Linked DNA regions of Drosophila melanogaster. The protein of the gene in region 1 interacts with the protein of each later gene in a pairwise test. Each region holds a gene or a part of one and is shown in the gene's direction. Other genes may lie near its edges.

What was found.
Region 2: the proteins of ago (region 1) and SkpA interact in a two-hybrid assay, tested with the Drosophila melanogaster proteins (2 studies listed by BioGRID).

What each region holds. Positions count from the first base shown.
Region 1 is NT_037436.4:4,247,090-4,259,846, reverse strand, and holds the start of ago (archipelago), read left to right. Parts: upstream 1-5,540; 5' UTR 5,541-5,719; intron 5,720-5,794; exon of another isoform or gene 5,795-5,858; intron 5,859-6,769; exon of another isoform or gene 6,770-6,820; intron 6,821-7,795; exon of another isoform or gene 7,796-7,865; intron 7,866-8,006; 5' UTR 8,007-8,045; coding exon 8,046-11,123; intron 11,124-11,192; coding exon 11,193-11,374; intron 11,375-11,438; coding exon 11,439-11,664; intron 11,665-11,724; coding exon 11,725-11,935; intron 11,936-12,021; coding exon 12,022-12,193; intron 12,194-12,259; coding exon 12,260-12,371; 3' UTR 12,372-12,757. Other genes in the region: CG1309 (uncharacterized protein), read right to left, coding at 1-103, 179-304; CG15011 (uncharacterized protein), read left to right, coding at 720-834, 901-1,511, 1,573-1,731, 1,785-1,901, 1,959-2,075, 2,132-2,263, 2,327-2,535, 2,591-2,771 and 2 more; CG1265 (uncharacterized protein), read right to left, coding at 3,917-4,047, 4,117-4,237, 4,552-4,811, 4,879-5,032. UniProt on the Drosophila melanogaster protein: Substrate recognition component of a SCF (SKP1-CUL1-F-box protein) E3 ubiquitin-protein ligase complex which mediates the ubiquitination and subsequent proteasomal degradation of target proteins. Probably recognizes and binds to phosphorylated target proteins.
Region 2 is NC_004354.4:654,330-666,162, forward strand, and holds SkpA (SKP1-related A), read left to right. Parts: upstream 1-1,784; 5' UTR 1,785-2,455; exon of another isoform or gene 2,456-2,769; 5' UTR 2,770-2,780; coding exon 2,781-3,269; 3' UTR 3,270-3,570; downstream 3,571-11,833.

The sequences.
Region 1 (12,757 bases):
TGGCCAGCGTCGGTATGGAATCGGTCACCAGGTAGCCGCGTCGGTATAGGAATGTGACGAGCAGCGGAGAAGTATAATAGCCCACGGACCACATAACCGATAGCTGCAACGGAGAGTGTCGATTTTCCACATTACCATATGCTCCAGATTCTGCCCCATGGGATCGCAGGGCACTTACCGTCGATAGAATCTGCTCCCCGAACTTTTCCACGGCACCTGCCTCGTACATCTTGCGCTGCGGCTCCGGCACACCGCGGTATTCCATGTAGAGGTTGGGGCCAAACACGTAATTTAGGAAACTCATCTTGGATCGGATCGTAGTCGGTATGTCTGGATATATTTAATTTTCTCTATTTTATTTTGTTGCAAATGATGTGAAAGCTGTTCCAGGGTGTCGCACTCACGAACAGATGTTTAACATCGAATACCAGGGCTGCCACATTAGATACCTGACCTATTAATTGTAAACTTCAAAATGTTGGTCCAAATTATTAAATGCAATAAAATATGCAGAGAGGATGTTTGATAATTTAGGTATTAATGTGTATGTATGTATTTTTTTTGAATTAAATGAAATTCCCAATTGGAAACTGAAAGCTCACACAAATGTGTACCTTTCGGAACTAGATCCCCTAATTGCTGTTATCAGAGAACGAGCCATCCCTGGTTCTACCCCAGGAATTTATTCCCAGTTGATAGACAAAAACGCCGGCTTAAAAATGGAAAAGTTTAATAAAGCGCAAGCTAAAAATTTGGCTGCCGCCCAAAAACTGGTGGACACCTACGCCTCCAGCTCCGAGGATGAAGGCGAACTGGATGAGAATCACATTTTGGGTAAATCGACCGATGCTTGTGACGTGTCATTTGAAAACCATCAAATTTTGTGCTTTATCTTTTCAGAACTCCTATACAAGAACTACAAACCGTCGGACAACGCAGGAAGCTCAAAGGAAGCGGCACGCACCAGTACGTTTCTGGAAAACACTCTACACTCGGGAGCGGCAACCTGTCTCATTTGCATCGGAAGCATTCGGCGGGTGGAGGCCATTTGGTCTTGCGAGAGCTGTTACTGCTTCTTTCACTTGAAGTGCATCCAACGGTGGGCCAACGACAGCATGATGCAGATGAAGGTAAAGGCGGCAGAGCAGCAGAACGGCCAGGGCCACTACAATCATCTGGGCGAATTTGTGCCGCCCAAGCGACAGAAATCCCTTCACTGGTGCTGCCCCAAGTGCCGCAGGGACTACCAACCGGCCGATAAGCCCACGCAGTACAACTGCTTCTGCGGCAAGGAGGTGAACCCCGAGAACCAGCCCTTCCTTGTGCCCCACTCATGCGGAGAGCACTGCGGAAAGCTTTTGCAACCGAAGTGTGGGCACGATTGCAAGCTGCTATGTCATCCGGGGCCATGTCCTCCTTGTGCGCAGCAGGCGCAGGTCTCGTGCCTGTGTGGTAAATCTAGTCCTAGGTCCGTGAGGTGCATTGACAAGCAGTGGACGTGTCAGCAGACTGTAAGTCTTAACGTTTTAAGAAATTTTGTCTGACCACCATACTAAAAAAATGATTTTCCAGTGCAAGGAACTTCTAGCCTGCGGCAAGCACAAATGTAATCAGGTGTGTCATCAGCCAGGAAAGTGTCCTCCATGCACCAGCAAAAGCTTACAACCTTGCGAGTGCCAGCGGGAGTCGAAGATGGTCAACTGCTCCGATCGGAAATGGAAGTGTCAGAATGTAAGAAAAGCCTTTTGAAGCTGAAGCATAAAACAACATTAATATTCTTTCAGGTTTGTGGAGCTCCATTTGCTTGTGGTTTGCACATTTGCGAGAAGGTGTGTCACGCTGGACCCTGCGGAGATGGAGAGTGTCCTTTGCAAGTCAGGAGTTGCCCATGCGGCAAGAATGTATGTGATATATTTATTTACAAGTTTATATTCATTTATGATTACCTAATTCTGTAGACCCAGGTAAGACCCTGTAATGAGACAGAGGAAACCTGTGGCGATACGTGCCAAAAACTTTTGTCCTGTGGCCAGCACACTTGCACCCAGCGTTGTCATCGTGGACCTTGCATTTCCGTAAGATAGCCACCAGGGAAGCAAATCGATTCTCTAATGAAATATGTTTCTTACAGTGCCCAATAAGAACCAAAAAGAAGTGTCGTTGTGGTCTGCACGAAAAGGAGTTGCCCTGCTCCAAAGAGTTTGCATGCGAGACTAAATGCAAGCAAATGCGTGATTGCGGCAAGCATGCATGCAATAGAAAGGTATAAGAGCACGCAAGCATTTTAAATGTATACAGCCGAATTAACCAATAACCTTTTTTAAAGTGCTGTGGGGACCAGTGTCCACCGTGCGAAAAGATTTGTGGCAAGCAGCTGAGCTGCAACAAGCACAAATGTCAGTCCGTGTGCCACAACGGACCTTGCTATCCGTGTAAACTGGAATCCCAGATTAACTGCCGCTGTGGAAAGACCAAAAAAAGTGTTCCTTGTGGCAGGGAAAGAAGTGCACGCATTGTCTGCTTGGAACTCTGTCGGTTCGTATTTCTTTCGCAATATATAATGACCGACTTTTAATCTCACTTCTTGCAGCATAACTCCCAAATGTCACCATGCCATTAAGCATCGTTGTCACAAGGGTGACTGTCCTCCATGTGGCCAAGTGTGCGGTCTACCCAATGACACCAGCAAGTGTGGGCACATCTGTAAGGCACGATGCCACGAGGCAGTTAGAGTTAATAAACCCAAAGAGGCTAGGCCACAGGCCAAAAAGGTAACTATAATCACAAAACTCACCTATCTCAACATTAAAACTCTACAATTTGTTTTACAGTATGAGTATAAGGCATTACCACATCCACGGTGCGAGGAAGGCGTCATTGTCACCTGTATCGGAGGTCATGAGGTTGCCACTTGGCCATGCTGGAACTCCAAACCCACTTCCTGTCAGCGATCGTGTGCACGTCAGCTTAAGTGCGGCAATCACAAGTGTTCATTGGTTTGCCATTTCGTACCGCTTCCCCAGGATATGTCTGCGCAAACTGGCTGTGCCAACTGCGAGGAGGGTTGCACCGTTCCCCGACCAACCGGATGTATTCACGCCTGTCCCAAAGGATGTCATCCACCGCCCTGTGCGCCCTGCAACTTTGTGATTAAGACCAAGTGTCACTGTGGACTCAACCAGTTGGTTTACAAGTGCAACGAGTATTATGATGAAACGGGATCGGTCCAGGAGATCATCGAGCGAAGAGAAAAGCTACGGAGCTGCGGTAATCGATGCTTGAAGAATGTAAGTGCTGTAATATACCATTGTCGATCAAGCCTTACAGTGATATATATATTTTTTCAGTATCCTTGCGGACATCGCTGCACAGCCATCTGCCACACAGGCAAGTGCCCAAATCCCGAGTTGTGCCGCAAGAAGGTTCGCATTTTCTGCGCCTGCAAGCGACTCAAGCAGGAGATTGCCTGTGACAAACACCGTGCTGGTCAGACATTCTTGGATTGCGACTCGAACTGCAAGGCGGAGCAAATTCGCGTCCAGGCGGCAGAGCAACTGCAGCTGGAACAAAAGCGTCGCGACGAGGAAGAAAGAAACCGCCTGGAACTCGAGAAGTTCGAGGCCAAGTTCGGCAAACGCAAGCACAAGGAGCGCAAAACTGTGGGTTCTGGACCGGCCAAGACCAAGATCGATTGGCAACGTAGAGCAATCTATGCAGTATCCATTCTAACAGTTGTGGGTGCAATTGTGGTGGCTTTCTACGCGGACAGTTAAACGAGTAACAACAACCGATTCAAACAAGAATTTGTAATATCAATTTAAACAGATAAGCAAATAGAATTAAAACAATGACTGATAAGCATTTCCAGCCAGCGCAGTGTTTGTCTATGTTGAGCTTTTCTAATCAGGCTGGCCAATTACTCCGCCTTGGCCTTCTTCTTGTAGACGCAAGCGGCGGTGAAAACGGAGGCGCTAAGGAACGTCGAAATCAGGAAGTTTGATAGCAACATCCAATCGTGGGACTGGAAGAACACCGTGTAGATTCGAGCTGTAAGGGATACATATATGATGTGTTAATTGATGACATCAAGTGATGGAATGCAAGATGTGATCTCACTCATGTTTGTAAAGGCGGAGAGCGCCCATGTGGTTCTACTGACGGAACTGGCATCCTTGGTCCTCAGAATAGCCAGCAGCTGGAGGACCTTACTCGTGGCTCCAATGGGAGTGCAGAAAGGCTGACGGGAAATCAAACATTTAGATGAATTTCACGAGATTTATATATATTGCCCGAGCACTGAAAGTATTAATAGCCGCTCAAATATTATACAACAAACATCGGTGACCTTGAGCGAAGATGCTGCCCAGTTAAGAGCACCGCCTTTTCAAACTAAAACAAATAACAAATCAAACCAAACCCGTTTGCCCGGAAACATAATTAGTTAATTGGAAAAGAGAGCGGGGAACGGGTTTGAACTGCGCCGAAGTCGTTATCTGGGCAAGAATACCCGACTAATCAGTCACTAGGTGATATCAATACAGGCTTACTCACCACCAGGAACTTAAGGATGATAATGGGAAAGAGCTTCATGTATATGAGAGTGGCCACTATACTATACAGTATGGCCACCACTTGCGTCCTCCTTCCCAGCAGATCCTGGTACTTGAAGGCGTAGTAAATCAGGGCGTACTCCTGCAGCAGCAAAACAGGATACTCCATGTACGAGAGGAAGTCGTAGCCACTGGTGTAGTTGTACGACAACATCACCGTATAACTGAACAGCTCCAGGCACAGTCCCAAAACACTGATGCCTAATTCATAAATCCGTATCATATGAGTGGGAGGATAGGTTGCAGATGTTGTGTGGGCGGTGCTCACCTTTCGAGGACTCGTTCGCCCGTATCGTGTTTATCTGCGGAACCTTGATCACCAGGCAGGACGAGACCGTTATCAGGCTAAGGAGGTCCGCCACCACGAGCACTGGGCCGCGCTCCAGGTATTCGGACACCACATCTCCGAGAGCTCCACTCATAGCGACCGTCGAAATTCGAAATTTGCAGCTTCTGAGTGTGACCTTAACATTGTGTGGACGGAAATGCTAGTGTTACCACACTCTATCACTAGTAAACAAATTAACGATATTTGCTGTAATGGTTTCTAATTATTTTATAACATAGCAATAAATAACAAACTCATGTCATTTTTAGGGTTTTCAAGAAATTTCTATAAGTTATAAAATATAAGTATAAAAATTAAAAACTATGAAAATAGAAACAAGTTTTTTAAACATATAATAATTTTAGTAATTAAGCAATCAAAAATATAATATAAAATATAAGCAATCAAAAAAGAAAAGTAGAATTGCTGAGCAATTAAATTGTGTAAGAAACACGTTTATTATTACAACACATAAATAATTCATGAAATCCATACATATAAACAACTTGCAGAGTATCACATTTTTTAAAACCAAGCTCGAGTCACGCGGAGACCATCACATCCCTAACTTAAGCCGTGAATTCCCATGGTATATTTGAACGGTCGAGCGGTGGTCACACTGGATCCGCATTAGTTTTTTTTCGGGTCCAAAATCTGTCCAAATCCGCAAATTGCACGCATATTCTAGTATCTGAAAACCAGAAATTTAGATAGACTGGGTACAGAGTCATCTGAAAAACGCAAAAATTAGGCAATCTCCGAGGAGCAACGTCCTTAAAACGTATGTGAAAAATTCGATTGAACGTGTGTGTGCTGTGTTGCGCCTGTATGTGTGAGAGTGGGCCCCAAACGCAAAAAGTTTTACACGCGTTAAATGTGCAGTTGAAAACCTGAAAACAAATTGTGCCCGCTAAAGTGGGGTGTGTTTTTTTAGTGCCCCCTCCACGTTGGCTGCCCTTAAAGTTTATAAACAATGTGCAAGGCACCACGCGAACTCAAACTTTAGCTGCGAGCGAGCGAGCGAGTGGGTTCGTCTGTGTGCGTGACTCTGCCTGTGTGTACAACAATGTCCACATTTTTCTTTTGTTGTTTGCTCCACGAATTATGGGGCTATCCCCTCCGTGTTCCAACCGCTGCATTTGCAGGTGCAGAAAAGTGGGGTTAGGATGGTCAAAGAGTCCGTAAGGAACGCTCAGCGTGCTGCAATCGCTGCTCTGAATTTGCAACGAAAGTAATCTATTTTTGGGGGATTTGGGACCACAGGTCTCTGCCCATTATCCGCGTTGGTGTGCGTCTGTGTGTATGCAGCGATTATGACGACTCCACACCCGTGGCTAAATCCACAGAGAGAAAATGTTCTCGAGCGCATCCCCGATGTTCGACCAAAGTGTCCTGTGTGGCACAGGTAAAAACGCGTATCGAAATGCGGTGTGAAAGCGGAGACCCTAAAAACATATTTTACGTTTTTTCGGGAGGTCAACAGCCAAAGGCCACGAGCCAGGGGTGGGGAAGGAGGAGGAGGAGGAGAAGCAGTAGAAGGAGGGTGGGAAGAGAATGAATACGAATATGGGAAAATGTTCGGGAGAAATGCCTGCACATCTGATCTGTTTCGGCAGTGATGCAACAGCAGGAGCGCTGAAAATTCCTTTGTGATCTCGCCCCTTTTGTTCTGCGGATGCTGCGCTGCAATGGCTGATCTTTGCTTCTTCTCCTTCTCCTTGGTTTTCTTGTCCCCTCCCCTGGATCTTCCAATCTCTGCCTACGGCGATCCCTTTTTCTACTCTCTCGGGTGCGTGTGTGTGTCTGTGCGCTGGTAGGATGTGATGGCCAGTCAAGCTGCTGTCAAACATCAGAGATGCGCAGCTGCGATTTTTCAGTCACGGTGAATGGAAGCTGGCTAGGATCAATGAATTTCTAGAGAATAGGGACTACTATCATACAATTTACAAACATCTTAGCCCTAATAATTAATGATTTCTTTCCGTTCTCCAGGAAAAGAAAGTCAGTTTGCACAAATAATTTGTTTTACAGAATGACTAATATCTTGTTATTTGGAATTTCGGTTTCGACTAAATGTTTGCGATTTTATATAGCCCATGTAAAAAACTCACGTTTTAATGTAACTTTTTAAAATGGATGACTAATACGTATGTATTTTGGAAAGTCAACAACTCTGTGACTCAGCATATTGGCAGAAGTAATCTTAGCTTGGGCTTGGCTCAGCTCTAGTCAGCAAGAAATGTTTCGTGACTATAGATTTCACAGTTCTATTAGTAACAACCAACGCAGTTTATTAAAACGATTTACTAATGTACATTTTAACTTTAGTTGGGTGTCGAAACTATTTGAATATGGTCATACACTTCTTTAGTATAAAAATTATTTGGAAGGCTTTTCCTATTAGTTCGGTGACTGTTTCCCGATCACCAGTGACTTTCCCGCGTTGATCATCTCTGAAAGTCAGTAAAAAGCGGAGGGAAAAGATAGCGGCTTGAATTGCAAGGTGTACGTGGTGTTGTTGTTATTGTTGTTCTTGTTTGGTGCTGCGGCTGCTGTGTATCTTTGGTGCTTCTTCTTCTCACGTCCGTTACTTCTCGCTCTTCACTCTCTTTACAATACCTTTTGCTGTTGTCTCTCTTTTTAGGGTATGTGTGTGTGTCTGTTTGTGGTGTTTTTGTTGTAATACCCGTTTCGTCTTCTTTTGCCCATTCTACTTCGCGCCGTTTTAGCCTCTTCCTCGATGCACTTTTGTGATTTCCTTTTTCGAGTTCCAACGACGCCGGCAGAGGCAGCGTCGTTACAACAAATTTTTCCCACTGCTTTTCATTCCCTTGGATTTAATTTTTTTTTGCAACCATCAGTTTGCGCTTGTTGCGTGGGAATTTCGGATCATCTTGGATTCTCAGGGCACAAAAGGATCGTTCATTGTAAGCGGTGTAAAATTTGTCATACCTTGGGTTTGAAATTTTCATAGCGTCTATTTTCAACACTATTATTCACTTTTCCATAAGTGCTTCCTCGTGTTACCAGCTTCCAACCATTCGATAACCAATCTTTAACATTTGCAGGAGAACGCATTACCCACTTTTGAATGCCTGTAAAGTATTATGGAAAGAGGATGCCCAGCTGCTAGCAGTGAATCCGTGACCAGTGCAGGGGAGCGTACTCAGTCAGCAGTCACCAGCTCCACCTCCACGTGGGTCAAGAGTCAGGCCTCAACCAGCCGAAAAACAGAAGCATCAGAAGAATCGGGATTAGGAGCAGTAGACGCAGAAGTAGGAGCCGGCAGAGAAGCCTTTGTATCTATGTCAACGCTGCGGGAGGATGTGGAGGACGTGTGTGTGTCGTCAAACTCACAACATGGTTTCGCCGTAGTTTTGGACGACGAGTCCAGCACATTTGAGATTAGCTCTTCCAACTCACTGCCCACCAGTGCGGGGGCGGCGTCCACAGTGGGAGTGGTGGCCGTCGACGACAGCTCCTCCACGGATACCTTGAACGGTGGTCATCCTGACTTAGGTCACCCCGCCTCATCGGAACACAGTCGTCAGGGCTTTTTTAATGAGGATAATGAAGATCCTCCGGTTGTATGCCTTATAAACGACGATGACGATGATGAGGAACCCGAGCCGGAGGAGGACGATGAGGAGGAACTGATTGAAGACGAGGACGAGGACGCAGTGGACATTGTAACGGGCGCCATCAGCTGCCCCAACACATCACAGTTGGCTTTAGCCGACGGCACCATCATGGCGGCCGATGGATCTAAGATCTTCCTGGAGACGCCCGTCGTGGAGGAGGCCCAGCCGCATCCCGGTCAGGTAGTCACAACGGGATCCCAGTCGGAGCTCACAGGCAAGCCAAAAAGATTGAGCGATGAGTTCTTGCTGGGTGAGGAAGACCAAGCAGAGAACCTGGCTTTGGGAAGATGTATTAAGTCTGAGCCGGTTAATCCCGTGGACGACAATCCATCTGAAGGCGACGATGGGGCTACTTGCTTCTCACTACATGACCGTCTTATGTCAGTGCGCCTGAAGCAGATGAGCCTCACGGCCAACACCGTTTCGAATCCCTCGCCAGCAGCCTCTGCCAACGCCGCCGCCCCAGAGGAGGCCTCCACTTCCAACTCCAGCTCAACCTCCAGCTCTGCCTTGTCGAGGGCAGACATTGAGTCCATGGATCTGATCGAGCGTCGCGACTTTGAGACGGAGCAGCGTCTCACGGGCGGCATAATCCTGCGTACCAGCTCCATGGTGAGCCAGAACAAACTGAATCTAAGTCTGATCAAGTCCATGGCGGGGGGAAGCAAGGCGGCCAATGGATCGGGTACGGCCAACAGTGACGACTGGCCCAGCAGCAGCAATGGGCGGACCGTCTCATCGGACAGCAAGTACACCTACAAGGATCTGTCCACGACTCCAACGAGCAGTCGCAAGTACACGAATAGCCGGCTAAGCAAGTCCACTGCCAAATTAAATCTGGGATCCTCGTTGGGCGCCTCCAGCTGCAGCCAGCACCGGAGTGGTTCCAGTTCCACTTCAAAATCCATGGAGTCATCGACCAGTTGCACTGGAGCTGCCCGAACGGACGTTTACACAAACACCAACTCGAATGATTACCCCAGTCTGGCTCCAACCACGTCTGGTTCGTCCACATCCGGGGGAAGCTGTCAACAGGATCAGGAGGAGAATGTGAGTGCATCCGTCTCGTATAGCTCGGTGGGATCGCAGACCTCTCAGGAAAGTGGTTGCAGTCGCACCACTGCCATCAATCCAACAGCTGCCTGCTCCACCGGATCGGCCTGCTTGGGTGACTCTCAGGCCTCGACATCGGCTTCTACCTCGTCCGGAGCCGGAGCGTCCAACCGTTGCCAGTATGCCACTACATCGACGACAAAGGCAGCTCGCCAGGTTAATGCCAGCGCCCAAACCCAGGAGCGTTTCCTGACTCGCAGCAATCCTCCAGCTGCTAGTGGAGCGGGGTCGGTTGGGGCAAACCCGACAGCATCTGTTCGGCAACGGCGAAACGGTTCCAGCGATGTTGTCCACCTGGAAGTGGTGGTGGAAGAGGGAGCTGGCGGAGGGGACGGCGGCGTGGTGGAGCCCGGCGACTTTAGTGCCGAGGAACCTTGGGCCAACTGCGATGAGGAGAACAACTGTTCCGATCTGGAGGAGATTTGCACATGCCAGAACGGTAACGGAAGCAGCTACGGCGGAAGCAATGCCAGTCTCAGCGAGACTTTCGACATGGACGCCATGGATCCCGATGAGCCCATTTCCTTGTCGCTGTCCTCTGCCTCAGCTGGCTTCACCGAATACTCGCTGACCAATCCCAGCTCGCTAATGTCTCATCAGCGCAAACGAAAGTTCAACGAGGGACGTCTGCTGGATGGCGGCGACTACTCGGTGACTATATCTTCCAGCGGCGAAGTGGGCGGACCGGGTTCAGGTGTGAGCGATAATTGCCGCAAGCGGATTGCCTATGATTTTGCATCTACGCCGCGCTCCTCGCAACATTTGGGACCCACGGCAGTGCTATCGGTGACGCCCTCATCGCATCTGACTAGCTCCACGCCGGGATCGGCTTTGGGTCGTCGCACCCCACGTTCCGTGCCGTCTCGTGACAATCCGCCACCAGAGCTGCAGCACTGGTTGGCACAATTCCAACGATGGTCCCATGTCGAGCGATTGCTGGCCCTGGACCGTCTCATCGATCACTGCGATCCGTCTCAGGTGCGGCACATGATGAAGGTGATTGAGCCGCAGTTCCAGCGGGACTTCATCTCCCTGCTGCCAAGAGAGCTAGCCCTCTTTGTGCTCTCGTACTTGGAGCCCAAAGACTTGCTGAGGGCAGCGCAGACCTGCCGCAGCTGGCGCTTCCTGTGCGACGACAATCTGTTGTGGAAGGAGAAGTGCCGCAAAGCCCAGATCCTCGCCGAGCCGCGTAGTGATCGCCCGAAACGGGGACGCGATGGCAACATGCCGCCAATTGCTTCGCCCTGGAAGGCCGCCTACATGCGTCAGCACATCATCGAAATGAACTGGCGGTCGCGACCTGTGCGCAAGCCCAAGGTACTCAAGGGCCACGACGATCATGTGATTACGTGCCTGCAGTTCTCTGGCAATCGCATTGTGTCCGGCTCCGATGACAATACACTTAAAGTATGGTCAGCGGTGAACGGAAAGGTGAGTAAATCGAACAAGCAATCATTTAATGTTTCCCTGCTAACGAGATATCTTTCTCAACAACTGTAGTGCCTGCGCACTTTGGTTGGTCACACCGGTGGTGTTTGGTCTTCCCAAATGTCCGGAAATATCATCATTTCAGGCAGCACGGATCGCACGCTCAAAGTCTGGGACATGGACAGCGGCGCATGTGTGCACACACTTCAGGGGCATACGTCCACTGTGCGGTGTATGCATTTGCATGGCAGCAAGTAAGTTAAAACCACACACAACTATCCACTAACCAATGCTGATTGTTGACGAATTTCTCAACAGAGTGGTCAGTGGCTCGCGAGACGCAACCTTGAGGGTTTGGGACATTGAACAAGGCTCCTGTCTGCACGTTTTGGTTGGTCACTTGGCTGCTGTGCGTTGTGTGCAGTACGATGGGAAGCTGATTGTGTCCGGAGCGTATGATTATATGGTGAAGATCTGGCATCCGGAGCGCCAGGAGTGCCTGCACACACTGCAGGGCCACACAAATCGCGTCTACTCGCTGCAGGTAAGATAGTCAACACTTCTTTGTCGGACTTTGCCGTAAACCATTCTAAATTTCACACAGTTTGATGGCCTGCATGTGGTATCGGGTTCATTGGACACCTCTATTCGCGTGTGGGACGTGGAGACGGGCAATTGCAAGCACACCCTGATGGGTCATCAGAGTTTGACCTCTGGCATGGAACTGCGTCAAAACATTCTTGTCTCGGGCAACGCCGACTCGACAGTCAAGGTGTGGGACATCACAACCGGACAATGTCTGCAAACGCTGTCGGGTAAGTTTGAATCCTCCGTGTTTACTTTTCACTAACATGCTGTAAAAGATCCACTACTAATCTGGTACTCCTTAAATCCCCTTTAGGTCCAAATAAGCATCATTCTGCGGTCACCTGCCTGCAATTTAACTCCCGATTTGTGGTGACCAGTTCCGACGATGGCACCGTGAAATTGTGGGACGTTAAGACGGGCGACTTTATACGTAATCTTGTGGCTCTGGACTCTGGTGGATCCGGCGGCGTTGTGTGGCGGATTAGGTAAGTCCAAGACGATATAAATCCGCTCATTATAAATGTAATTAACTATATCTAAAAACTTTTCAGAGCAAACGACACTAAACTCATTTGTGCCGTCGGTTCCCGCAACGGAACGGAGGAAACAAAGCTAATGGTCCTCGACTTTGATGTTGAGGGTGCATGTGTGAAGTGCTCATAGGAGACGGTGGGGCACTTCCGGTGGAGCCTACGCCGCCGTCTCGCTTGGATTCAGGCGGTGAACGGTCAGGGACGGGGCAGCTAGTATACAGCTTCAAGCGAGATTTCATTGCAAACTCATCCAAACACAGAAAAGCACACACAGACAGATGCCGCGGATGTGAGGGTCCGCAACGTAATGTTGAATGCCTTGCCAACAAAACGCAACTGCTCACATACACCACACACACCATTAACACCACACACACCGTAACACACACACAAAAAACATTAAACAATTAAGGGAAAGAAGAGTAGGGTAGTCGGGTGGTCGGGGTGTGGCTGTGGCTGTGAGTGTATATTGTTAATAATACCCTTTTAAATTACGTTGCTTCATAGCCAAAATTC
Region 2 (11,833 bases), on another chromosome or scaffold:
AGACTAGGACAAAGGCAAACGTCCTGCACCCATACATACACACTCTCTCACAGGATTGGATGACTTGCAATAATCCTCAATCCGCAAACCATATGTTCCGGCATTTTGCCAATATATTCGCTCCGTTGAAAATGGCCCTAATTTAGTTTTTATTCCTACGGCTTCGCGTTTGAAAGAGAGAGAGAGAGACCGAGAAAGAGGGGGCTTGTAACTGATGTCGTCGACAGCCATCCCTCTCGCTCGCACTTATTCCAAGCCCTTTTAGCCCATGCACACACACGTTTAACAAAAATCAATTAACTTGAAAGCACATGTAAAAAAAAGTATTGATCCACAAAAAACAAAAGGCACTTCGGTAATCCTGGAATACACACACTTACTGCCGAAAATATTTAAAATGAATGGGTACGCGTATATATTTATATGCTGGTGAACAAAAGGCGAGCATAACAAAAATGTCTTATCGATTTGCATGCGCAGCAGACAGTAATTGCAAATCTTGTATTTTCTTGAGTCTGTGCAACAACTGAAATACCTTTCTGGGCATAAACTATCATAAACACAAGTGGGTGGTGCTGGGAAACATCGCTGGAATTGAATATTTGTTTGTTGGTCGATTTGTTCTGAATGGAAACGAATGTCGTTTGCAAATTGCTCTCTCAGCTGTTTACAAACGCATACCACATAACGCAGGTGAGAGAGAGAGGGAGGCATATGCGCAGTGAGAATGGAAGATGAAGGGTTGCCAAGTGCGCAAAGGCTTGCAAATTAAGTACACTTGTGTGCGGGGTAACCGAAAAACGGGTGTTTACAATAAATTTCGCTGGGTGGATGTAGCTTTGTAATTTGAGTTCGCCAATTTTTTTTGTTGTTAACAGCATTTCGAAGCGGTTGCCAACCCTAGACGCTGGCTGGTTGCATGGTAACGAAAAATGGCGGCGCCTGTTACACACACTCACACACACATGCACGCACAGTCTGCTGTGTTTATGCACTTCATGCTGTTCCGATTTTTTTTTTGCACTTTTTCGATTTGTTGTCTGCATTTACCTTAAATGAATTTATTAACTAAGGCGATATTGTGCCTCTCGCTCAATCTCGCAAAACGATGCTTTGTCTGCTGCTTCTCTGTGCGTGTGTCCGTCTCTTTCCACGGCTTTTCGTCGAGACTCACATATACAAACGGCGACACACTGGATTGGAGCTGGACTCCGTTTTGGATGGCTTGGCTTTGGCTGCGTACCCAAAATAAATCGCGCTTGCAGTCCCAAATCATTTTAGTTCTTGACGCCTTTGTTCCACAAAAACTTCCAACCGCCGTCCATGGCTCGTGCTTTCTCTTTCGCTCGCGAGACGCTCCAAAAGTCGCGAGTATGGGAAGAGAATGTATCCCTCGCTCTTTCACGCCTAGAAGCGGCTGTAGCACACACAAGCACACGTAAACCCAGCCGTATGCATATACATATATTCCCTCTACTAGCGAGACGTGTGTACGTGCGTATGTATGTATGCTTTTTTCACTTCTTTCTCCTCTGCGTTCTTTGCACCAAGTGTCGCTGTTGCTATTTGCTACCGCCGCTCCTCTTGACGAATAAGTCGGGACTTGTATCAGCTCTAATTCGGACTTAGTTTACAAAATGCGGCTGCTTTTTTTCCGCGATACTCGGATTAGTGATGTAAAAAGACGTTGATGCTTCGACCACTGAAGTCAGTGCGATATGTATCGATAATTGAATGCCATCGATTGCTACGATTAAAACTGCCACCGCAGTTAGCGGAGACGCTCACCATTCTCTATTCGCCATTTGAAAGTATCGGTGTAATTTGTTTTCAGAGAAATTAATTTCCGTTTACTGTGCAATTCGGTGTGAAAGTGTTCAGATTTATCAATGCGTATTCTGCTTTCGACTTCGCCACCAATCTGTGCTGCAAGTTACCATTACCAGGTCCACCTGGTTCCCGCCAGTTTTCTTTCATTGTGGCTAGTTGTTGTTCGTGCCTTCGATAAAGACGTTTAGAGGTGTTTTTAGAGTTTCGCCATCTGGTCACTATAGCCGTTTCGTTTTTTACGTGAGTATTGTGAATTTGGTGTGTTGATTTATATCTCAGTTGGAGCCTGCGTGGAAATAGTGTCAGTACGTTTAAAGGCATCATCGTAAGGTTAGTCGGAAAACAAATAAAAAGCCTACAAATAGCAAGCAAGAACGCTTTCGCAACCACAAGAAAAACGAACATACGCACGCATCCATCTGTGGTAGAGTCGGCTTGTGTGGGGGTGAGTGGATGTGTGGGTGAGCATTTCTGGAAAGTGCCGTTCTCTATGTTTCGATTCTACTTATCCCTTCATCACCATTTCATCGTTGAATCATCACGAAAGAAACATCGAAAGTGCACAATCGTTTGTTATCTTTGTACGAAAACAACGGTGATTTCCACACAGGCATAACCTGCAAGAGTAATACGATACAAATTTTGATCTGATATGACCTCATTTTAGTCGGTTTGAATTTTAAAGAGAGCGACTCTGCAAACTGCAGGGATATGAACATACAAAATTCACAAATGATTGTTTGCATCCTAGTTGCTTATATTCATTTACACGCATGCTTATATGCTTACATCTGTTATCAATAATTGACGACTTGGTGCATGCGAAGCAAACGCATTGAAATGACTATTGGGATCCACACACTGTTAAAAAACACACTGATTGCACTGCCACACATTTCTCAACTAGAACCTAATGTTTTATACTGAACTTAACTGCAGGAAAGCCCAAAATGCCCAGCATCAAGTTGCAATCTTCGGATGAGGAGATCTTTGACACGGATATCCAGATCGCCAAGTGCTCCGGCACTATCAAGACCATGCTGGAGGACTGCGGCATGGAGGACGATGAGAATGCCATTGTGCCGTTGCCCAATGTGAATTCGACGATTCTTCGCAAGGTGCTTACCTGGGCTCACTACCACAAGGACGACCCCCAGCCAACGGAGGATGATGAGAGCAAGGAGAAGCGCACAGACGACATTATCTCATGGGATGCAGATTTCCTAAAAGTCGACCAGGGCACACTGTTTGAGCTGATATTGGCAGCGAACTATCTGGACATTAAGGGCCTTCTGGAGCTCACCTGCAAGACTGTTGCAAACATGATTAAGGGAAAGACTCCCGAGGAAATACGCAAGACCTTCAACATTAAGAAGGACTTTTCGCCCGCCGAGGAGGAGCAGGTGCGCAAGGAGAACGAGTGGTGCGAGGAGAAGTAAAGCGCGGCATTTCGCGGGACCAACATTAAGTTGAAACAGCTAGGGGATTCGGGAACGAATTGGATTTGCAGCATTGCAACTTTACTTAGTTGCTACTTTCATTTACATTTTTTTTTATTTTTAACCCCAGCAGAGACTCGATTTAAATTGTGTATAAATGATCTGTTGCTGATTTGATTCGCGGGGTTCATTTTTTGTCGTAAATATATCTCATATACATACATATGCGAGATTGTAACACTCTCTTTAACCTATTGGAGTAACACTTGATTTCACTTTAATAAATATAACTACCCAACACAAAGACACAGCCTATTTTGTGGGCTTCCCGGAGGGGTTAGGGTCCAAGGACTTCTCAAATTAAGAAGTGCTCTTTATTCGTTATCTTGTGTTTAGAAACGTTTGCAAGCGTTTGAAATGGATACGCATGCCATTTATGGTCCAGTCGGTAAAATTTTACGTGTTCCCAAGAAGGTACATATATATCTTAGATTATCTTATCTATAGAAACTACATTCATAAGATCACGCTTTCGGCGAATAGCGAGTAATACTGTAGCTGCCACTTTGCCACTTAGTGTGCAATTGAAATGCGCGCCAACGCATGTTCTCATATGCGGAGCGTTTAGCAGCCCTTAAAAAGCTTTTCATGTTGCTTTTAAAAAGCTACGACGGGTGTGGAAATTAGATTTGTGACGCTTTATATATCTTTTTTTTATATCGTCTGGGGTACAGCATGGTTTTAGGATTTTAGAAGAAAGCAGTAATTTTGTAAGAATCGAAGAACGGGGGGATATTTATAATTTTCATATTAACCTTGTCTTTGTTTGCTTTTGAAATTATGAATACTTCGAAAGATAATTATCTTGTGCGCATTCCATTCTGGCTTAGACTGGGTTGAGCTAAAAATGATTTGAAATACAAATTTTTAGGTGTCCGCTGATATATAAACAGTATGATGTTTTTGCACTTTTTTCCCTGAAGTTTTCCTTGTTGTCTCGCTTGCCAATGCTGAACAAAGTAGCCAAAGGACCTTTACTTGAAGCTTTGAGAGCGGAAAATATATTCGGGGACAATTGCTTTAAGTGTGCACTAGGCTTGGCTAGATGCCCGTGCCAAACTTTCTTTGGAATTGATCGCTGGCCTTAGCCAAAAGTGGAAAAAAGAAAGGATAGGATAGTGCCGCACGTATTAAGGGTCTTCTTACAAAAGGTAACTGATATTAATTCATTTGCATACTAAGCAAGCTAACTCATCTGTTTATTGCAAACAAGCGCCAATTGAAGTTTTATCGAAGCTCAGGGCAGCGCCAATTGCCTCGTGAGTTATGGTAGCTCAGCGCGTCAAGGGGCGTGGCTATTGTCCTCGTCTTGGGGCCAGGGGGCTCTCCATTTCAATTACCACGGGGAGAAAGGGGGCTGTGTTCTTGAGTCAAAGACTGAGGTGAAAGGCAGGCAACGCAAAGAAAAGAAAAGAAAGCACGGCGGAGCCAAAAAATTGTAAAGCGGCCTGAGCAGAGGAGCGGAAAAGAAGAAAGGACCTTCCACTCCCCCAGCCAACTTGGCAGTGCCAAGGAGTAATTAGTGTGCATTTCCTTGGACCCACCGACTCACCCCCCCCCCACCCACCCTATCCCCTTGCTGCGTGTGTTTGTGCAACATTTGCTTTTCCACTTCGTTTGCGACAATCAAATGTAACAAAGGAGCGAAAAAAGGTTGCACAAAAAAGTGGGAAAACAAAGCTGAGATGGGGAAGTGCAAGGAAGAGGAAAGATCGGAGGCAGAAATACACTGGGAAAAAAAGAGAAACATTTCCCAATTGAACAGGGGCACACGGAATGCAACACCTCAGGTCCCCCAAGCAAAACGATATAGCATCAAACCAATCACCATGTGTAGCCTCTGAAAGTATGCTATAAATGATTGAGTAATTGAAAATGTATTTGCCTACAGTGCATCTGCCGGCACAACTGCCATGTGCCATCGCCACTCCACACTCACCTGGCTGCGCCCTCTTATCGTCTAAGTCGTCGTCCTCCGCCGGAACGTGACATTGAATACGTCTGCATCCTGGTGGCTGCTTCCGCTCCTTCAGCAGCTGCTGGCCCCTCTCCCAGCTCGCTCGGGCGATTTCTTCCACTCCTCATCTCCTGGCCAGGCCAGGCCAATGCTAATCTCTCTGTAATTAAGACTGTCACTCATTCAGGCAGTCAGGCAGTTGCTTTCCGCTCAGTTTGCCCATCTTGGGAAGTTTCCAGGTCCTGCTCTTTTTCGTCCTTGCTTCAGTGGCGTGGGCGAATGAATGGGAGGCACATTTGAATTGCCTTTAATTGCATGTTGTTTTTCCCACTCCCAGTTTGATTGTAGTGCATCCAACGCATCCCGTACATCCCTAATGGAATAGTCTCCTCGCTTCGAGACAATTTTTTAGGGGCATAATGTAAGCGGGGTGATAAAAGGCTTGGATTTCATGCTCAGGATCAACTCGTCAGGGGATCACAGGGGTTGAAATTGGCTGGTCTAAATGCGATTTCTATTCACTTCCACTTGACTTACGAGTTGGCTAAGTTTTTCACAGGGATGCAACAGTCAGTTGATGGGGGTAACAAAGGGCCAAGCCGGGTAGTTAGGATTGCATAGAGAGCTCGCTTCTTCTAAATATTACAATGGCAAGGGGAAAAGCCTACACCATAGTCATTAAAGTCGTACAGCACAGCTTCAATTTTATTTGGATAGAATTTCTTTAATTTATATCGATACTAATAAGAAATCTTTATCTTTTATAGTGCAAGTGACACACATTGTTCCACCAATTAAGAGCGACGCCCGTTTAGCAGCCCAACTAGTGTCACCCAGTAAATTTACGATAAACAGATTTTCGCTGCCCGAGCTTCCCGGGATTCGTTCTATTTGTGATGACTCGAGCAAACTTTGGATCTGCCGGAGACTTCAACTTGGACTCCACTACTCGACTCTATTAATACCAGAGTGCTGGATTTCCCCTCCCGGCAGAAACCCGAGATTTATGGCTTCCACTGGGAATGCGTGGGATGTTATCGTAGGACTTGGACTGCGGCCCACATATCGGCGGAGATGGGGCTCTCGGGTGGAGATTCTGCTGAAACGTTTTGTTTATTATCGGAACGACGTTGTTGGCCAACTGTTTGCCTCGGCTTCTAATTCATTTGCGTAGTAACGATGATGGTGCATCGCTCGGGACACGAGGTCGACTAAAAGATTCGATCCCAACCGACTTGTTGGGCTTTGGAATATTTGAATAATTCATGGAGGAATCATTAGTTGCTCATGATTGGCACTGGATCGTATTTTTTGTAGGCTAGAGCACAGCCATCGCTGGGAATCACGTCCCACTGAAGTACTTCTCACTCCCACCTCCAAACTCTTTAGTTTGTAATTCTATTTATATGCACTCGCTCCAGAGTATCCCTATGTACTCGGATCTTGGGTAAGCATGTACTTCTTTTGGTGCAGATGGGGCTGCACACTTTTATTGTTATTGTTGCCGCTTCTGCAGTTTTGGAATCTTCATTGGCACTTGAACATGAAATGGAAATGTTCATGGCGTATCATGATTCTGTATCCATTCTCGCCCCATGCTCCTCCGAAATCTTCGCCTTGCCTTTCGAAAATTTTATTTACTCCGCCGGCCAATGACTTGCGAAAGAATTTCCTAGTGTTATTTCGGACACCATCTGCTGCCAGTTCTTGTAGGTAAGATAAACAGTGCATTTTCAAACATAAGGCTAACATCTTTGTCGTTTTGAGATGGAAAAAGTGAAATACTGAAGCTAATCGTAGAGTACCGAAAAGAGCGATCGATAGTTCGTCATTCCCCGATAATTATACTCATTCTCTTGCAGAGCAATTGGAAGCTTTTGTCCACTGCCGTGTGGCCCAGCAGATGGTGATTCCATGTGGAACACTCATAAACAGAGCGCGCTGCACACGGTTTGTGGCGTCATAAACTACTCTGTTTCATTGCAGCGCTTTTCGGCGAAAAGATTTCACAAAGTCACAAAACATTGGGGAAATTTACAGAAGAAAATGTACAATAAGCTGTCAGGCTATGAAGTATCCGAGTCCACAGTCTACATTTTGTATTTCTATCTGCATACTATCTCCATGGGCATGTTTACTTGGGTGTGATATATAATATCCGTTTCACTGAATATTGTGCTGCAATTAGCAGCAGAGTTCAGCTGACAGCTGTTGCAACGAATTCTCAATCGAGTAATAGCAGAATAGCAGAATCGAATCGGGGCTCTGAATTGGAGGAAGGGCTATACTGGGTTTAAGGGGGGGTCACTGACTATTTATGCAGGCAATGTGTGTGGACCAAGATGAAACGGAACCGGCAAAGCGTCCATGCAAATTCTTGAAATCATACACTCAAAAACACACTTGCACCGGAAAGGGTGTAAAACGGGCAAGGGAATACCAGTTGTGGACGAAATTTACATAAGAGTACAGACTAAGAAAAGATGACTATCCAGTTTCCAATGGTGAACACTGGCTTCGATAGTGCGTCAAGTAGGGCGTGCCGTAGGCAGGGAATACTCATGACGAGGTTTCAAGTGGAAAATGTAAAAAATGTAGTTTCGGAACTTCCTCACTATGTGCCATCATTTGTGGGATCACACATCCCATCTCTGGACTCCACGGCACGGAGTATTGCCCTGCCCTGTCAAATTTGGCAGCAGCTGTTCGGACCTGCTCGAGCAATTACATCTCCAGTGCCCACCACCTCCAGTGCGGTCCTATCACTTAAGCAATTGCAGCTAAGGATTGGATTGACTGGCCAAGAGAGCTTCGGTTGGTTGTGCAATGTATGTATATAAGGGCGGCCAAGGAGTCGGGTGGCTCTGCAAACGTTTGCCTTAGATAAATACTATGCCATCTGCTGCCTGAACGACGCAGGAAGGGAAGGTTCCACAGGCAGCAACAGAAGCGGGAGCAGGAGCAGGAGCAGGAGCAGGAGCTTCGAAAGATGCGGGCATCCAGAAGGTCGCATAAAAGTGTGGCATAAAATATGAATTAAAAACCAGTAGGAAAGGGTGGTAAATGCCGCGGGGGTCCGAGGGTGCAGGATGATGGACAAGCCGGAAAACCGGCAGGAAACTTCATGACCGTTCGAGTTCCTGCCCGGCTTGCATAGACAAAAGTAAAAAGTGATAAGCGGCTTAGGACTCGGCTAATGAGTCGTTACCCTATCCTCTCGTTTCTATTTAGGCCGACAATCTAATGCTGGGACTGCGTGCATATTGTATCTGCCAGTTTCGTTCCCCACCCTGCAAATAGACGTGAGTTATGCGAACTTTTTGACAGCAACTCGGATATTTTGAGCCTTCGCCCAACCCCATGCCCATGGAGAAACCCAACCGCAACTCTTACCACAAAGTATTCAAAATTAGCACGCAGCCCTGGCAAGGCACACACAAAGTTACTTGGCCGGGTGCAAAAACCATAAAAGTGAAATTGATGTCGGAACAGCCAGCTGAAAGGAGAGGGGACAGCAAGAGCAGGAGTAGGAGCAGGAGCAGGAGCAATTTCGACGGGGTGGCCGGATTATGACACGTTGCTGGTGCATAAATTAATGGCAGACTCTTCGGTTGGCACTGGGCTGTCACCTCACGGCAACCTCAAGTCATCTGGCGAGTGTCGAGATTTTCTGCGGTTTCGGGTAGATGATGGGATGTGGGTGGGATTAAGGGATGTGGAGCCATGCCCTCGATTCCCGGCCACATGGGTGCTCAACAATTCATTATCTGCTAAGAGCTATTAGCGAATCTCGTGCGATTCTGCCTCAAGGATCCTCATCCGGCTAGTTTATAAAGCTCGACTCAATCACCTGCGTACAAAATATAGAGATTTGGGCAAGCGTAATCAGTACATCGAAAAAAAAGGAAGTTTCGAGCTTAACCATCTATATCAATAACATATACAGCAGCAATAGGTCAGATTTATCCACATACAGTCGTCGTACAGTCATGAGCTTAAATGTTCCGATGGCAACTCGAGTGCTGCGTTGCTCCTGGGATGGAATTTGTGTCGATATCAATTTATAACACAATTCATCAGATATCAAGAGCCTTGAATCGAGTGCAATTTCTGCTAAATTGAAATAAGTTTGAGACATTCCCATCGATGCAATTACCCAAACTGAGTGGAAATGGTCAACGGTCGATGGAGTACACAGATAAAAAAAAACAAGTGTGGATGTGTTAAAATCGAATAATATCAAATAGATAGTTGAATAGATAGTTCATTCGTCTTGTCCGTTCGTCTGTCCGTCCGTAAGGAAGTCCAGATCTTTAACGAATAAAATAGGTTCGCAAGCGCTGCTCCTTTACTTATCATTTTTGACATGTTTTTCTCTGTGTATTATTGGCAGTGGGACATAGGCGGAACGCTGGGGGCTGCCTGCCAGAGTTATGCAATCCAAAGTCATTCGTTTGCCTGGCACTAAAAAAAGAGCTGCATGGCTCCAGGCAGCCTCCCGCCTCCTTGCTCCTTTTCCCTCATAAACCCAGCAGCCACCTTGGCTCACTCACCTGCCTTTTGCCGTGTGTTCGCTTGTTTGCTAAATGAACAATTTATTTTATTTTTTCGCTCGGCATTTCGATGTTTGCCGCTCGACACTCCTGCAAGGATATCCTGCTGCTCCATAAAGGACAACACCAAGGAAAGCTCCTTTCACCTCGCTATTTCCCCAGTTTTCTCTTTTTGCTCTGAAGTGGAAGTGGCAGTGAAGTGCGATAGTTTAGCATTTGTTTGCCTTGCTTTTGTTGCAAATGAGTGCGCTAGATTTCACTCGCATTTTATTTGCAAACAATTTTCAATGTTTTTCCACTGCGTCCCCCGCTTTTCCATTTTCCTCTTGAGATATGACACAGCGCCAGTTTTCCATTTTCCGAAAAGCAGCGAAAGTTGTCAACTCTGGCCATCGGACCGGAAATGTCCTGAACCCAATTAAAAAATCTGTGAATGTAGTCAGCAGGGATCTGCATCTCCGAAGGCTCTTCCTGCGGCGTTGCTAAGGTAATAATTTCGTCGAAATGAACCATTTAGATGCGGAATAAAATTAAAAATCCCTTTTTAACTCGCTTGCAGTATCCTTTATCAAGCTGCAGTATCATGAGCCAAACTGAAATACGCTGGTGTTAAGTTCATATTTACATAAAGGAAAATAATATGTTCAAAAACTTTCTGTTGACGTACATATGCATTCAAGATCCAGAGGCAACAATTTAATTTAATTCAGCTGGATTTCCGATCTACTTTAAAGGCATTTAATCCAGGGCGTGGCACAATGGAAAATCTCCTCCGATTTGGCCAGCATACAAAGCCAATTACGACGGCCTCCCGATGGGCCGGCCGCCCATTTTTGGCGCTGGGCGTGGCAGCGGCCACAATTAGAGCAAGTGCATCGGTAGTTCCTGGGAGCGAGACCACTTCTTCACCACCAGCTGACTGGAGCTGGAGTTCCGAACAGTTCGTCAACGAGTTTGCGTGTCGTCACGCCTCGTCTGCATTTTGATGACTGGCCGTAAAATAAAAGGGCAGGTCATGGAGTGGGAAAGGACCTATTTTATGTCGAAAGACCGCATATCCTGGTTGAATAGGAAATGTACTGCTATCTATAATTGGAAAATATTAAGTAAACAGAATTTCCAGCAGCTTCGGCAATCGATGGAAAATTAATTTACCCACTCGAGGGGTACAAAGAAGATTACATCGGGTAAGGGAAGCTCATAAAAAAAAGAAGAGAGAATGCTACAATCGCGTTCTCCGGCTATTAGATATCCGTTACTTAGCTAGTGTGAATGCGAATGCGAAATTTCATCATTTTTCTGGGATATCGATAGATATTGGGAAATAAAATGATAAACAATTTAAATGATGGTTTAGGGCGCTAGAGTAGGCGTGGCAACATGGGTCAACAATTTTGCGCTGTGTCTTTGTCTCTAGAATACGTATTCTAGCCTTCTAGCTTTTATAGTTCCTGAGATCTCAACGTTCATACCGACAGACGGACATTTCCATATCGTCTCGGCTATTGATCCTGATCGAGAATATATATACTTTATATAATCGGAAACGCATCCTTCTGCCTAATTGGACTCCACGAGTTACGGGTATAATCACTCATACGAACTGAGGCCCTGTTTGAATTGATCGCTCGCTCAGTATGCCATTTCAAATAGTTGTAATTGAGGGGGTTCTGTGCGCCATGTGGCAAATCCCAAAATATATTCTATGTCAATCCCTAGCTGGCTTACACCCGGCCATCCCGTCGCCCACTTTTCCGGGGGAGCGACTTAGCCTTGGCTCAGCTTTCCACTTAACCTTTTTCGCTTGGCTAAGGCCATGGCTCGGGCTTGGCTTTGGTTTTTGGCTTGTCTCGGCCTTGTCCTCTTGTCATCCGCGCGCTGTCGTCGTTTCCTTCTACTTGTTGCCCCCTGTCACACCACCGACTTCGCAGATTATCGCCCCAACATGGGGCGTCACTGAAAGAAAAACTACTTTAGAACAAATACTCCTTTAA